3 linked regions of the Ovis aries genome follow. The protein of the gene in region 3 interacts with the protein of the main gene of each other region in a pairwise test. Links are inferred from orthologs where the notes say so. Each region holds a gene or a part of one and is shown on either strand. Other genes may lie near its edges.

Evidence for each region.
Region 1: the proteins of KIF2A (region 3) and FAM13C interact in binary tests that used the Homo sapiens proteins (3 or more experiments, as listed by UniProt). The two-hybrid records come from large-scale screens. The link is inferred for Ovis aries from reciprocal best matches to the Homo sapiens genes KIF2A and FAM13C.
Region 2: the proteins of KIF2A (region 3) and LARP1B interact in binary tests that used the Homo sapiens proteins (3 or more experiments, as listed by UniProt). The two-hybrid records come from large-scale screens. The link is inferred for Ovis aries from reciprocal best matches to the Homo sapiens genes KIF2A and LARP1B.

What each region holds. Positions count from the first base shown.
Region 1 is NC_056078.1:14,231,721-14,236,941, forward strand, and holds the end of FAM13C (protein FAM13C), read right to left. Parts: intron 4,749-5,221; coding exon 4,647-4,748; intron 2,242-4,646; coding exon 2,118-2,241; 3' UTR 635-2,117; downstream 1-634. Other genes in the region: PHYHIPL (phytanoyl-CoA hydroxylase-interacting protein-like), read left to right, coding at 1-109.
Region 2 is NC_056070.1:29,871,352-29,876,472, forward strand, and holds part of LARP1B (la-related protein 1B), read right to left. Parts: intron 2,822-5,121; coding exon 2,677-2,821; intron 1-2,676.
Region 3 is NC_056069.1:17,226,570-17,231,790, forward strand, and holds the start of KIF2A (kinesin-like protein KIF2A), read right to left. Parts: upstream 2,668-5,221; 5' UTR 2,400-2,667; coding exon 2,336-2,399; intron 1-2,335. UniProt on the Homo sapiens protein: Plus end-directed microtubule-dependent motor required for normal brain development. May regulate microtubule dynamics during axonal growth. Required for normal progression through mitosis. Required for normal congress of chromosomes at the metaphase plate.

The DNA of each region.
Region 1 (5,221 bases), on a different chromosome or scaffold from region 3:
TCTAGGCACCGTGGCAGAAATCACTGGTCATCAGCTCATGAGCTTATCTACTGCAAATGCAAAGAAAGATCCCAGCTGCAAAACCTGTAATATTAGTGTTGGACGTTAATGCCCACTTTTCTTATTCTGAGGCCCCCTTTCTTCCCGTAGGAGCCCTGATCCTCTGTTGTCCATTTTCATCACCCAGATGTTTTCCACTGAAGCATGCCCATGCCACTGTCACCGAAAGCGAACCATCACTTTTCAGATTTCCGAGCTGTTGTAGTGTTTCCCAGTCCCTACCCTTCCCACGACTTTGAGAGATGAACTGTCCTGAGTTGTTTCTGACACCCTCTTGCCTAGATGCTGCAATGTTTTTATTTTTCCTCTATGCCAAACATAACCAAACTATTATATAAACTGCTTTAGTAAAATACAAAATAATGGCTTATAAATGGTGTTTAAATATGCTCTCATTTTAATCTACTGAACAAATATTGGGATAACTCCAAACCGCATGAAAAAGTGTAATTGCAGCATGAGTTAAATCTTGAAGCCTAGAATTGTCAGCACTTCCAACTTGTTGTTTGACAGTGTTATTTATGTTATTTATATTAGCTAACAGGAAACAACTACTGTGTTTCAACATAATAAATATAATAGAAAAATATTTTATTTGTATTGTTGTATAAAATATTTACAATCTTATAGAATATATAGAGTTACATCTTAATAGCAATTGTATACATGTCACGAAACCATTTCCCTTATCAAAGATGTAGTTTGTAAACCTCAAATAGTTGTGTATCTGTCCTGTTACAAGTACATAACTTTAATTAAACAAATTTGTGAAGGACATTATTCTGATTCATAAAGGTTATAAAATATCAGGTAAATATAGGTAACTATAGAGAAAACAGTAAGCCTCTGAAACCATCTGCTTCAGAAATAGTCAATCCCAACCAAACTATATGAAAATGTGAATTTGTTCACCATTGTGCTTAAACATTACAGAAAAGAGAACTACAAACGTGGCTGGTATGAGAGAGAAAATGTGGACCTTTTACTTATTTTTACAAAAGCAAAATAATAAACGTGGTTTAATACAAAATAACAAAACAATATACACTGAAGTTAATGATGCAAATAAAGTATCCTGGCTTCTTTTCCAAGGTGTTACAGCAAACAGGTACTAAACCTTTCATTTTATACAGAATGAGTAACAACTATAGTTCATGGGAAATTTTTTTGACTTTACAAAGTATAGACCTTGGAACATTAAGAAAAACACATATTCCCAATGGAAAAATAGTTTATATATCTTATAGTAAACAAAAAGATTAGCTATTATAACTATGATCACATTAGATTATATGCTACAGACACATCTATCCAAAATACCTATTTTCAAATTTTAATACAATATTTTATTTTAATATAAACATCTGTCAATTATAAACAAAGATAATTCACAAAGTACATGCTATCAGAATGAACTTTGGTAATCAGAAATGTAAAATTTTAAGGAACAGATAAAATAATGTGCTATTTTTATATAGAAATAAAAAATTAGCAGTGACACATTCTAGTATATTTTAGGGTGCTGAAAGCCTAGCAGACTTAAGGGACAAGGTAGTAGATTTTTTATCACTTAAAAATCTATTAGAAGTTTCAAATAAATTACATTCTTAATGACTGTATCCCTTTCTATGTAAAATGAGTTTCTTTTGTTGTTCTTATTGGGTTAAAAATCATGCTCTTTCCGTATGTCAGTATAAGCAGTCTTTGGACATTAAGTAGACTTTCTCTAACCAGTGGTCCATTTAACAGGTGGACACTTTTTATTACTTAGGTTTGATACAATACATGTTTTCTGAAGTAATTATACTGACTGCATTTTCTCCTTGGCATGGAGAAGGCTGAATTTTATTTTCCAATTATATGTTACTTACTGTATTTTCTCCCATTTTAATCCCTTCTATTCATGTATAATTACACTTGCCATCCATTCTTAACAACAGCTAATACTCCCACTAAAGTGCTTCAGTTTTCAGTTGTCATACTACTTAGCAAGAACGGCAGAGGAAAATAAACTTGCCTTATCACAGGTGAAAGTGATCACAAACATTTCCTGAACCTCAAATAGTTTTGGCCACATCTTGCTTGCTGATGAGGACCTCTAATAGTCTCAGTTTGGCTTTTATATGCTTGTATTCATAGTACTCATCTGCCATTGGTATCCGATCTTCCTTTTGTGGACTTCTGCAAAAAATATATATATATATAAATGCATTAGATCATTAATGAACCAAGTCATTAAAAATCCTTTTTTAACTCTTGTGAGAAAAGTACAGGGTAACAATTTCCGCTAGATTTTTTCATCAAGTCTTTTTTCCTCTCCCTCTTCCATGTGTTACTAGGTTTCAATGTAATAGTGCTCTGAGAAGTTAAATATTATAAGTGTTTTGCAAAACATTGTCCAGTGCATAGACATATAACACTGGGGAAGAGGAAAGGTCTGCGGGAAATAAAAACCAGAACCCTCAAGATATTTTTTTACCTAGTCTTTCTTCCATCATCCAAGCCTGTGCAGAATATTCAGCCCTTATAGTGATAGTTGTTTAAAATATCAACCTAAAAATACTACGAAAATTACATTAACAGAAATAACTTATAAATCTATGGTAATAGGAGGGAAAAGTTCAGTAGCTACCTTACAAACATGAATTATTTCTAAACTTTCTTGTAATTATAGTCCTATCTCTGTTAATGTATAGAAGAGTCACAGAGAAGTTCCTTTCAGAAATCTGAGTCTAAATTGTAGTGGTTCTTTGCACACTGATCCTACTAAGACTAGACTACGGATCATGCCCAGTTTGATACATATGCCTCCTAACTGCCAGATGTTCTTGACATTTACTTTGAAGGATAATTGGGTAACATCTGGAGTTAAAATCATCTGCCTTCCCAGAAATTTACATTGCCAGGATATGTTTTCTAAAGGACAAGAGTTAGTTCAGGATCTCCTTAGTTAATAAAGATGGCCAATTGCTTTTAAAATATTTCCACCCATGACTTTGAAATACAAGGACTGGAAAACCCAGATGAAGTCACCACCACTGCTATTGAATATAAACACAGATAACATAAACTCTGTAACATAAGTATAGCTGAAAATGGGTAAAAAGCAAACAGCCTATACCCCTTCTATTTTACCAGTACTGATAAAGTTATATTTCTTACCAATAAAAGAACAGCTAACAGTACACATAGATTTGAATACTGTTCTGAGTTCTGAACTAGAAATTTCAGGGCAGTATATATAGTGTTAACAACACCAGTAGATAACGATATTCTTTGGGAATCTATAAAGAGTCTTCCCTGAAATCTCTAGTTCAGAACTCAGAACAGTATACAAATCTACAGCCAGAGTTCCTTTTAGACTAACATAATTCCTTTGACTCCATTCTGTATTCTGGGCCAAACTTATCCCAACTGGGTATCTAAATGCCACCTTAATTTGTGTAAACATACCTAAGTGAAGAAATAGTCTAATTTATAGGGAAACACTAATAGTTCATGATGCAATTATCTCTGGTCCGGCACACTCCTCTTTATCTAATAAACAAGAATGCATTGTACTAAGTATTTCCTTAACCACTTTTCTCATTATATAAAACATACATAAGCATTTAGCACAGGTCCTGGCTCATAATTGTTAAGGTCATACCTAGATAACTATGCTTCTTGCATGATGACTCTTACCAAGAACATTCATAGAACATTAAATTTTTTAATTATCTATTTGCATGGTTATTTTACCTATGGACAGGTAACCCTTCCCAATGAAATGTTTTAGAAAAACAAGATCTGTATTTCGTAGCCATTCGACTATTTGATTTTACTTGTAATATGGCACCGCTTCTGCCTTTAGTTTAAGTGTATTACCACAAGAGGGCAGATAACCTCAACCAAGTAGTAAGCATATCTGAAGTGGGTTTCCCACTCACTGGTGCATTTAAAATACTATACATAGAACATGACTAACTTCCCTGGATGTCAGAGGCATGCCAAGTACCACTGCAGACCCATTTGGCAGGACTAATAACACACCAGAAGGTTCTCAAACTCTTTAAATTGCCTGTGTTTGGATAGGTTAAAAAATGTAAAAGTTGTATAGAAATTTTGTAAAGGAAAAAAGAAAACAAATTGTTTTATATTCTGAATTTAACAACCACATAACATTTCTCATTAGATAGTTACCATCAGCAGAAAGGTAGGTCACTTGGACTTATATAACAGTCAACTTAGAACAGAGAACTAACATGGGCTGAAAGATCAGATAGATTTATTTAAGGTTTAGATAAATTCAATAGTTATAATGGGATTTATTATGCAAAGTTAGGGAATTTAGGGAGTTCATCTTTTGTTTTTTTTAAAGATTCATGTCTTATACTTGATAGCTACATCCTTCTATAAAACATACCCAATAATGATACTACCCAAATGTTGCATTAGACAAACACTAGTTGTAAGTCACTGGAAATTATGTCTTGTATAAAGTCACCGTTACTGCAAAAAACAAACAAACAAAAAATCTGAGCTTACTCCTGACTCTTAGTTCTCTAGGAGTCATTAGCTTAAAAAATATCTCTGCCCACACTTACCTTCCTGTTTGTTTAAAAAACTGTTCCTCAAATTCTCTCAAGGCTTTCCGAAGTCTCTTCTTATCAGCCCTAGTTTCTCGGAGATGGTCAAGAAGTACAGGCCTGTATCAGGTAGAATATATATCTGCCATTATGGAGCTCTGGCATAACTGAGAGAGATGAGCAGAGCTAGCTATTTAGCAAAAAAGCTATTATGATACAGAAGTGTTCTACTTAAAAGAGTGCCTTCTGAATAAGGATGACACAGGTAGAACCTGACCAGAGGGGAACACGTGGCGGGGGCATCACAGACGATGAAAATAACAGCATCAGGAAATGGAAAGGATGGATGGGAGGCAGGCAGGCTGCATCCATTATAAAAGTGGGGACAGTAAAGGCCACATGGGGGCATGAGGGAGAAAGCACTTCAGATATGATGAGCACACTCCTCAGTTATCTGGTGACAGACTGAAGAGAGGCTAGAGGGAGAGATTTTAAAAAGAATTCTACTCTGAATCTTGACTATAAGGGGAATGTCAAAACCCTTGGGAATGAAACAAAGACCCCAAGAAAGCTGTAATTATGTTGCAGAGTCT
Region 2 (5,121 bases), on a different chromosome or scaffold from region 3:
ATATGGAGACAACCTAAATGACCTCTAAAAAATGAATGGATAAAAACCATTTGGTATATATACACAATAGACTACTACTCAATCATGAGAAAGGAGGATATCCTGCTGTTTCTGACAACATGGATTAATTTTAAACACATTATAGTAAGTGAGATAAAAAAAGGCAGAAAAAGACAAACACAAGTATTGTATGATATAACTTATATGTAGAATCTAAAAAAATGAAACCTGTTTTTTAAAAAAAAAGAAGAAAATGCTTACCAGGAAATGGATGAGGGGATAAGACCGATGTTGTTTACTACTACTTACTTATAAGTAGTAGTAAATAAGTGACCAATATAATGCACAGTACAATGACTATAGACAATATTGTATTATAACTGTTAAGTGACAATGCTACAAGAGCAATCAAAATACAATATACATATGTAAATAAGTAAAAAAAAAAGAGAGAGAGAGAGAAAGAAAAAGAATTCAGTATGGTGAAAATGAATGGGAAAGGAGGAAACAGATTCAGTAAGTGTGGCTATGTAGACATTCTCAACCAAGGTAGAGATGGGAAATAGCTAAAGTGTATTTTGCTTCCTTTGATAGCTTTTCAAGAAAGTTAACACTTGAGCATATTCAAATACATATTTGAAAAAGCTGATTAAAAGGAGTAATAAATAGAAGGGTATATAAGTAACAGTGAATTTTTATTTAGAGCTTAAGGTGTATGCCAGATACTGTCATTACAGATTTCATACCCATAACAACCCCATGAAGTCCACTTTACAGAAACCTCAGAACACTGCCTGAAGTGCTTGAAGTCCGGAGCTATGAGGATATGTATGCAGGTCCTCAAGTCCATGCTTTAAATCAGTATGTTTACACTGCAAAGCCTAATGAAGCCCTACCTTCCTAAAGGAAAAAAAAAAAAGACATCTTTCCTACTGTAGTAAGTGGTAGGTACATAATGAATGTTAAATGAATACAGACCTATGCTGTTCTAAATCACTATGCTTATATGTTTCTGTTTCACAACAGTTTTATTTCTTACTATAAATCAGCCACTACATATTAATAATGCTAACCAGTATAGTAATGCAAAAGTTCTTTTAAAAATATCCCTTCCCCACTGCTCTAAGTTTTATAATAGAAGTAGACAATCAGTGATATAAAAATTAAGAACTTAATGGGAATATGAACAGACCAAAAAAGGATGCAATGAATTACAACCAGATTCTTAGAGGTAGGGAGACCAGAGGAAATCGGTACCTTCATTGAAAATGATAGCGGAGCTAGAGCTTGCTTAGAGATCTGAGTACACTCAGTCACGTCTGACTCTTCGACCATTATTCAAAAAACCGAGAATACCATGTGCTGATGAGAAGCAAATGTAATTCTCATACAAAATGGCAGCATGCAAAATGGTTAAATCCATTTTGGACAATAGGTTGGCAACTTCCTATAGTTAAACATACACTTACCACAGATTCCAGCAATCACAATCCTCAATATTTAGACCTATGCTTTATTCATAATCTTCAAAAACCAGAAACAATCTATATGTCTATCAACAAGTGAACTGTATGCAGTGCATCCTTACTATGAAATACCAGTCAACAATAAGAACAAACTGATACATGAAACAACAAGAATGAATCTCAAAAGCACTATGCTAAGTCAAAGAAGTCAGAAACAAAGGGCTACAAACTAGTGATGTATAATTTATTTACATGATGGTCTAGAAAAGGCAAAACTAGAGGGATAAAAAACAAAATCAGATCAGTGTCCCAAGGGACTATGTATGAGGAAAGAGATTGGCTACACAGGTTGGCACAAGTGTGTAAGACTGCCAAAATTCAGAAAACTATATAGGAAAAAGGGCAAATATTATGTATATATGTAGGGAACGGAAAACCAAAAATGCTGAAACCATTTCTACAACAAAACAGACAAGAGATTTAATAAAAGCTTTAAGAACACATCTGGAATAACTATTTTAAACTAGCCCTTGGTATACAGGAAAATTTCTCAAAATTTTAATGATGAGAATACAATCTCTTTTATAGCAACCTAAATACTAAAGGACCAAGAATACCCAAGAATGTTTAAGTTTGTTTTGGGGTTCAACCCAACCAAGAAGGATCCAATTAAAAACAGGTAGAAACATCAGTAATCCTTTGAGGGGTTTCCAAGGTTAGACATTTATTTGGATTTTATAAAATGGCAAAAGAGCCTTGAGATACAGTAAGAGTCTTAGGTTACTGCGCTGTGCTTAGTCACTCAGTTGTGTCCACCTCTGCGATCCTATAGGCTATAGCTCCTCTGTCCATGGGGATTCTCCAAGCAAGAATACTGGAGTGGGTTGCCATGCCCTCCTCCAGGGGATCTTTTCAATCCAGGGATCCAACCTAGGTCTCCCGCATTCCAGGTGGATTGTTTACCATCTGAGCCACCAGAGAAGCCCAAGAATACTGGAGTGGGTAGCCTACCGCTTCTCCAAGGGATGTTCCAAATCCAGGAATTGAACCGGGGTCTCCAGCATTGCAGGCCAATTCTTTACCAGCTCTGTTACCAGGGAAGAATGTTTTTGCTTTTTTCTTAAAATTACTTAATAGATTTATTTTTTATAGCAGCTTTAGATTCAGAGCGTAACTGAAAGTACAGACTGTTCTATATATGAATAATTACCTCCAAAATGAGATTAAGGTTTGTAGTGAGAGCCTGAACACGGTGGAAACCAGCAATCAGGGAAATAGGCAAGAAACCTTGCTCGTCCATCTTTCTCCTAAGAAAGAAATCCCGTTCCAAATTTTCTATACTGAAGTAATACTCACTGAAAAGAAAAAGAAGTAAATATAAATTTCATCAATTTATTCAATCGGAAATTAAAACGTCTATTGATTAAGATATCAACTGCTATAAAACTATTTTGATTTATTGTAACATTATACACATTTACTGTAACATAGGGTAAATATAAATAGCTGTAAAACCCTACTGTTAGTAAATTCTCTTACACAAGTAGAAACAAATTTAGAATACTATCTTCTCAAAAACTAACTTCTACTTAGATCAGCTTTACCTACGCATAAACAATTAAAGAGTGTTATTCTTTAAAAAAAAAAGCTCAATAATTAACTTTCTAATGAGTCAATTAAGTGAAAATTTCATTTCAAACCCATATTAACCATATGTAAAATAGACAACCAACGGGAATTTGCTCTATGGCTCAGGAAACTCAAACTGGGGCTCTGTATCAATCCAGAGGGGTGGAATGGGGCAGGAGACAGGTTCAAAAGGGAGGGGTTATATGTATACCTATGGCTGATTCATGTTGAGGTTTGACAGAAAACACAATTCTGTAAAGCAATTATCCTTCAATAAAAAAAATTTTTTTTTTAAGTCACATTAACTTGCTTCATTTAAACAGTAAATAACAAAGTTAAACATGTCAACAGACTGCCTTCCAACTTTTTCCCATCACTGAGAATAATGGTATATTAGAAGCAGTTTTTATCAAGTTTACAGAGTAGATTAGTTTGCTGTGTTTTCTAAGCTGGTAGGGTAATGACATTGTTTAATATGTCCAAACTCTAGCATACAGCACAATGTTTAGTAACAGCTGAGTGAATACACAGACACAGATGCACACACCCAATTTTATACTTGAATGATTCAAGACCCTCAACCTCCCCTTTGAGAGGGAGAACTATAAAAGACCTTAAAAATGAACAGAATATAGCTAAATAAAGAACATCTATAACACCATGAAGTATAAACATAGGCGAAAAACTATAGAAGCAAACTTTCACACCTTAATTGTCTCTCTAGGAAAGTAGAGAGGGAGATATAAATGAACAAGCTGTGGGATCAACAAGTTCCAACATATAAAGATAATATTAAGAATACATATAATAATGGCATTTCAGAAACACTTGTTTAGATTACAGCTTGCATATTTTAAAAAATGAAAACAAGATTCTAGAGAAACAAAACAAGAGGATAAATGGGGGGAAATGTAAAAAAGAATAATACAAAAGAAATACATGACATCAAATGATATGGCTTACAGTTTAACAATCCGACACTATATCCAAATCACAAAGCAAGTTTTCAAAGGGTGGCAACTGGGTGACTAAAGATACCCTTGAAGTATTTAGGTCAAATTGTTAATTTTGAAGAAATAATTACCTATAAATGAAAGCTGGCTTTGAGCTACCTTTCACTGTATGGGAAAAAAAATCTCATTTTAGAAATGTAAATACCCAAGTTGTATTTTTACTCTGATATTTTCCAACTATCAAAGTGTAAAGCTCCCTTAGATCAGTGAAATACAACTAACATCTCAGTAATACTAGGTAAATCATTTACTCTCCTTAAACACTGAAGAAAATTTTTTAAAAAATCTAAGTCTTGAAGAAATTTCTTGAAGAAACATTCTGATTTTTGTTACACCTCAAAAGCCCTTTTCACAGTGCCTGGCATGTGGAGGGCACATAATACATATGTTTAAATTTGAAAATTTTCAGACATTAAGACATCTAGCCTCTTCAAAAATATTTAGCATAATATTCCACAAGTCCAAGAAGTTTTTCAGGAACTTCTCAAAGACAAAAATCTAAACACTAATGAATGAATAAGCCTGTATATGTATGAGAAACCTTAAAGATACAAAGGCAAAAAGCATGACTCCTCAAATCTAGATGTGCACTAATCAGAGAATGATAACAGTAAACAGCCATTCTAAACTTGGCGCTCTAGTACCTGTCAAAAACTCTGCTGCTAAACAATGACAAGTAAAGAAGTCATGCCTGGTGCTGTGTCTAACATTTTGTCCACTGTCCTAGCGGACATCATCATGTCCTACCTTGAAGCTCTGGATTCTACACTGCATGGTCAGAAATTTTATCAACACTGAAGTAGCTGTTCTCCTCCCTCACCTGTATGAGCACATTGGAAGGCCAGTTACCCTGACATGGAGTTGCCTGTTCACTGTCAGGTCTCAGAAGGGACCTGGTAGCAAGAGTTACCAAAACAAACAAACGAACAAACAAAAAGGAATAATAATTTGAAGCTGATAGCCACATGCCAGGCACTTTCTGCCCATAAAAAGGCCCTTTTCTTCAATGTTTT
Region 3 (5,221 bases):
AGATACTAACAAGTCCACATTAATTACCTGGAAATATTTTTTTTTAATATATAAGCATCACAGATGGGAGAAGCATGCTCAGAAACAAGGACAAGGATCACCACTTAGCAAGCATGCAGAGAAACATCAAATCACCAGTGAACAGCAGTCTAGAACAGCCCTTCTTCACTCATGTGGTTTCCACTGTCTCAGGCATTACATTAGTGCTCATTCAACTGCAAAGTTTATTTCTGTTACAATGATCACTAATGTCTTATCCAAACAGATACACCATAGAAATGGGAGGAAACAAAACAGCTTCTTTAAAGTGAAAAAGGGAAGGCTTTAGGTGAGTCTCCCAGACATCAATTTCTACTGTGAAACAGCACTACCCAATGCAAATGATCATTCCCTTAAGTTCTCTGCTTATCTGTTACCTTCAACTCTACTATGCACCTGAGGAACATAAATACATACATGACTGTAAGTTAAGATGAGATACACCGTAATGATTTCAATTATTTCTCAAGGGCAAACTGCTTTGAAATGTGATTTTAGGTTACTAGCACTTATGTAAGAACACAAAGCTCTTAGATGTCTGGGTTTCTGGTATAGGCAGAAGATGAAGGCAGAAAGAGTACTAATTATAGTACTAAGTAAAGAATATCCTAGAATCCCCCCCAAACCAAAACTGTTTCCAGTCTGACACATTTAAAAAGATGTTAGCCCAGAAAACATAAAATTAACCAAACCTTTCAAGTATCATGATACTTTTTCTGATAACTTCTACAGTTAAACCTACAATCACAGTTAAAAGTCTTAGAATGTAAAGAACTCACACATTTTATTGCTTCTCCCCCAAATTTTAAACAATATATATAAACCCTACTTTTACTAGTATACAGTGAACCTGCATTTACCTAAAAATGAAATTACCGTAACAGCACAGCTTAAGGAAAGCAATTTGAAGAGAAAACACGAAGAAACCCCAACCAAAGTGAGAGAGACATCTCTTTCCCGTCAGTGTTATGGGTAACTTCTAAAGGTCTATGTGTTATAATTTATCTTTTCACATACTGCGTAATAATGTTGACACAAATTATGTCAGATATAAGGAAAGGGAAAAAAATCATTAGCTGGACAGGGTCTTCTAATATATGTTATCACAGATAAACAAGACAGTCAATCTAAGCTTCACATAACTTGGTCAAACCTGGTAGAAGCCTCTCGGTAGAGGCTGTAGATCAGACAGCGATAGTTACCATTGACTAGGCTAAACGATAATAAGCCATAACCTAAAGGCACAGGATAAGATACACCGCACGCCTCTCGGTATTACACACCTCTACTTCGCTCAATGTTTGGACTGAAACATAATTTTACCCGCCTCCATGCGTTTTCTCCTTTACAATATAAATTATTTCCAAACCTGGCTGGTTAGGGGCGTAAAACATTTACCCCAAGAGAAACCTATAGAAAGAGACACAAGCCTAGGGCTTTTTCTCTCTTTATAATTTTAATTAGGCATGTGCCTCCACCGCGTCTGACACTTTTCTCTCGGTTACCTCTCAGGAGGGTGTGAGACTATCAACATCCGGTCGTCCACCCCCACCCTCTCAGGAGTGCCTCGCACAGACAAGGATCATCCTCCCTTTTAGTCTCATCACCTTTGAGAAGCTTATCGAATACTTCTTCCCTTCGCTCCCCCACCCTTATTCATGGCTGAGCACCACAGGCTCCCCATCCTTCTTCCAAGGAAGGGACTGGCAAAAAAGAAAGAGACATGCTCGAGAAATGAAAGACGAAGAAACCTGACAACCGAACAGTTTAAACCAATGGGGTTGGCCTTTCTCTCCCACCTTGGCCTCGGACCAGTAGTCGGTTCCCTAAATGCTGAAATCTCTGGTCTTCACGATCTCCTCACCCCTCATCCCCTCAGATGAGGCCGGGAAATGAAAAGGCCGGGGTGAGCCGCGAGGCTGGGTCAATCCTATCGGAGCCTGCGGTCCCCGGGCGGCGGTCCCCGGGGAGGATGGAGATCGCGGGGGAGGAGCGGGGGGCCCCCCGACAGGGGACCCTCCGACGCACACCCCCGAAGACCCCCGGGCCCTTCCCCGTAGGCCTCCCCCCGGCCCAGCCTCCCGCAGGGCTCCTCCCCGGTCCGGCACTGCAGCGGCACCCGGGGCGGACCCCAAGCTGGCCTCACTCGCACACACGCCACACACAAAAGCGCCGCGGCCGCCGCCTTCCCGCCCCCACAGCCCGGCGGAGCAATCAATGAGGCGGCCGGCGCCCGCGTCTCCGCCGCGCACAGCCGACAGCGGGGCCGCACGGCAGGGGCGGCGGCGAGGCTCACCATCGCTCCGCTTGATCTCCACGTAAATCCCGATCTGGATCTTGCCGAAGTTGGCCGTTGCCATCACCTCATCTGGAGCAGCGGCGGCGGGCCGAGGGAGGGGGACCAGAGGGCGGAAAAGGCGGGGAGGGGGCGGGGTAGGTGTGTGAGGGGGAGCGGTTGCCCGCGGCCGCGCCGGCCCGGGCGACAGCGTGAACGCGAGCCGGGGCCGCGAGGAGCAGCGGCGGACTGGCAGGCAGAGGCCCCGGGCCTGCAGGCCGGCGGGAGGACGCGCACGCCCGGGCGTCGGGGTGAAGCGAGGGCCGGGGCGGTGCGGCGGCGCGGGGGAGAGTGGGAGGGCCCGCGCCGCCCGCCCAAGAGCCGACGCTGAGGAGGCGGGGCGCCGCGCGCCTGCGCAGAGCGTGCCTCCCGCGTCTTTTCCTGGTCGGCCCGCCTTGCCCCGCTGCCTCGAGGCGGCCCCGCCCAGCTCCACGGCTGGGCGGGCGGCGGCCGAGGCTAGGCCGGCGGAGGGAGCGGAGCGCGCGCGGCAAGGCCCCCAGGGAGCCTGCGTCTAGTTTGATTTCTGCGCGCGGCCTGGAAGAGGCGGGAATCTGCGCTTCCAAGAACTTGCACTGTTGCTGGAATGGATTAAGCTCCCTGCGGTTTCTGGGCTTTCCGGCTGGAGCGCGAGGCTGGGGGATGTGCATTTAGGGGTCGGCCATTGACAGCATGGGTTCAGTGTCTCATCTGACAGTGTCACCGCCATTGCTTCTTAGAGGTGGCCTGTGCGAGGAGACGTCCCAAGGTTTCCCATCCAGTGGTAGAAGAAGAAACACCTTTGAGGTGTCACCCACACTTAGTCGGAATGAAGATCCGCTTTTCATGGCCTTGACTTACAGCTCATCGCCATTCAAAAAGAAACGGCGTGGTCGGGGAGTGGGGGATTAGATTGCTGGATTTATGATGCATCCGATGCAGATGTCTTGGCTCTGCAAATAGTTCAAGACTATTTGCCCTGGACCATAAAACCAGTAACTATGATTCAAGGACAGAGGGCCAAATAAATTTGACAAAGAAATGTGCCTTTTCGGTAGTCAGTTGGTGAGTCTGACCACACCAGCGTGTGGAGAGCAGGGTTCTTCGTCCTGGCAAAACAGGAAAGCCCTGTGGACAGGGACCTTGGAAACTATATTTACAGCACTGTGTACAAACCTCCAAACGTGTGACATTTGCTTCTAGTTTTAGGACTTGATATGGAGGAAACACACTTATCGTGCCCTGCTTTCTCTAGTCAGTGTTAATCTCCCTGTAATGATAATTTAAAATATACAGTTTTAAAATTAAAAAATTGGAAACTGGATATGTGTGTGTTAAGTGTGTGTAGGAGTATATGCAAATAGCTAGTGTTTTTATGCTAATATAATCAAGTCAAGTAGACCCTAAACATTTTGTTGAGAAAGATTTGGACTCTGTAACTTAAATGTATTGAAGGCATACTTATCAAAGAACAAAGTTTCTTACATCCAGTCTAAAGTAAAAATAATGTCTGTGAGAAAAACACTAGGCAGACAACTTTGAAAACCAGCTTTTACATGTCAGAAATGACTACTGTAAACCTCAATTTAGGATCTCTGTTTCAAAATAAGATTTGGTGGTGTTAGTGGGTTTTTTTTTTATTATTATCTTGAGTGCTTTGTCTGAACTCTTTGAGCTTCTAATAGAACACCTCCGATGTCTCTATGACTGAGATATAAAGTATCTATGTATTTGCTTGCAAATTCTTTTAAGAATACAAAGAAATCAAGCTATACACTTATGAAATTTAAAATTGCTTCATAAAATGTGTTTTATCATGGTTGCTGACACATACCTTGCCCTCCGTGGGCTATATAATTAAGAAGCCTAAACCTTTAATCCGTAGTTAAAAGTATTTAAAATATATATACATTATCCTGCTCTATAAAAAAAATGTATGAGATGTGCTACTTGTCAAACATAAAAACCTTTCCTTTATAGGTCATACCCAAAAGGCGTATGTTTTTCTGTATGCCCCACCCAGCATTTATATTTCCCAAGACTTGCATCTTGGGCTTTGTGCCAGTGGCCTTCTGAAGCGCACCGGTAAATAAATGCAGTGCGGCTACGTTTCCATCAACATCCTGTATCAAGAATTCTGACTCTGGCTCCAGCGTTAGCAAACTATATAACCCTGACTAGAACAGTGACTGGCATATAGTAGGCACTCAGACATTTGTTCAAGGAATTAACTTGTTAAGCTGCTCCAAATCTTGGTTACTTTCTTAAACAGCCTGGAAAAATAACTTCTATTCTCTCAATTGCAGAAAATTTTCATGAGGATCAAATGAAATAATAAAATGTGACAGTATTTTGTATTTATAAGTATAGTCAAGTTAAAAAAAGACAGTAAACCACCCTATAAAACATAGCCTAATACCTTACTGTAATCTTCAAATCATTACGTGAAATTTTATATCCAATGATATAAAATTAAAGACACTTTGCAATTTGGCTCTGACCCTCAACACCTCATATCTGAGAGGATAGCAAGAGCTTAACAGACCTGTCTATATTCTTTTACCCACTTGAGTCCTTCCTACCTTACTTTACAGAATAATTTTGCTCAAGGATAATTTCCGTCAAGTCATATCCTATTCATAGTAGCTGCTGTTGTCCTACCCTATCCTGAATTGATAAACCATTTCAAAAAAATCATAGTTTCTGTAATAAAACCAAGCCAATCTCATTATAAAGCCTAGATTAAATTTTTTTTGGTCTGCTTTGGAGTCATTAGTACATAAACGTTAAGAGATTATTCCAAGAAAGAGGCTGTTAAGTCAGTGAGCAAGATTTGAAGCAGAGGGCAGCACTCGCCAGAACCAGTTACCT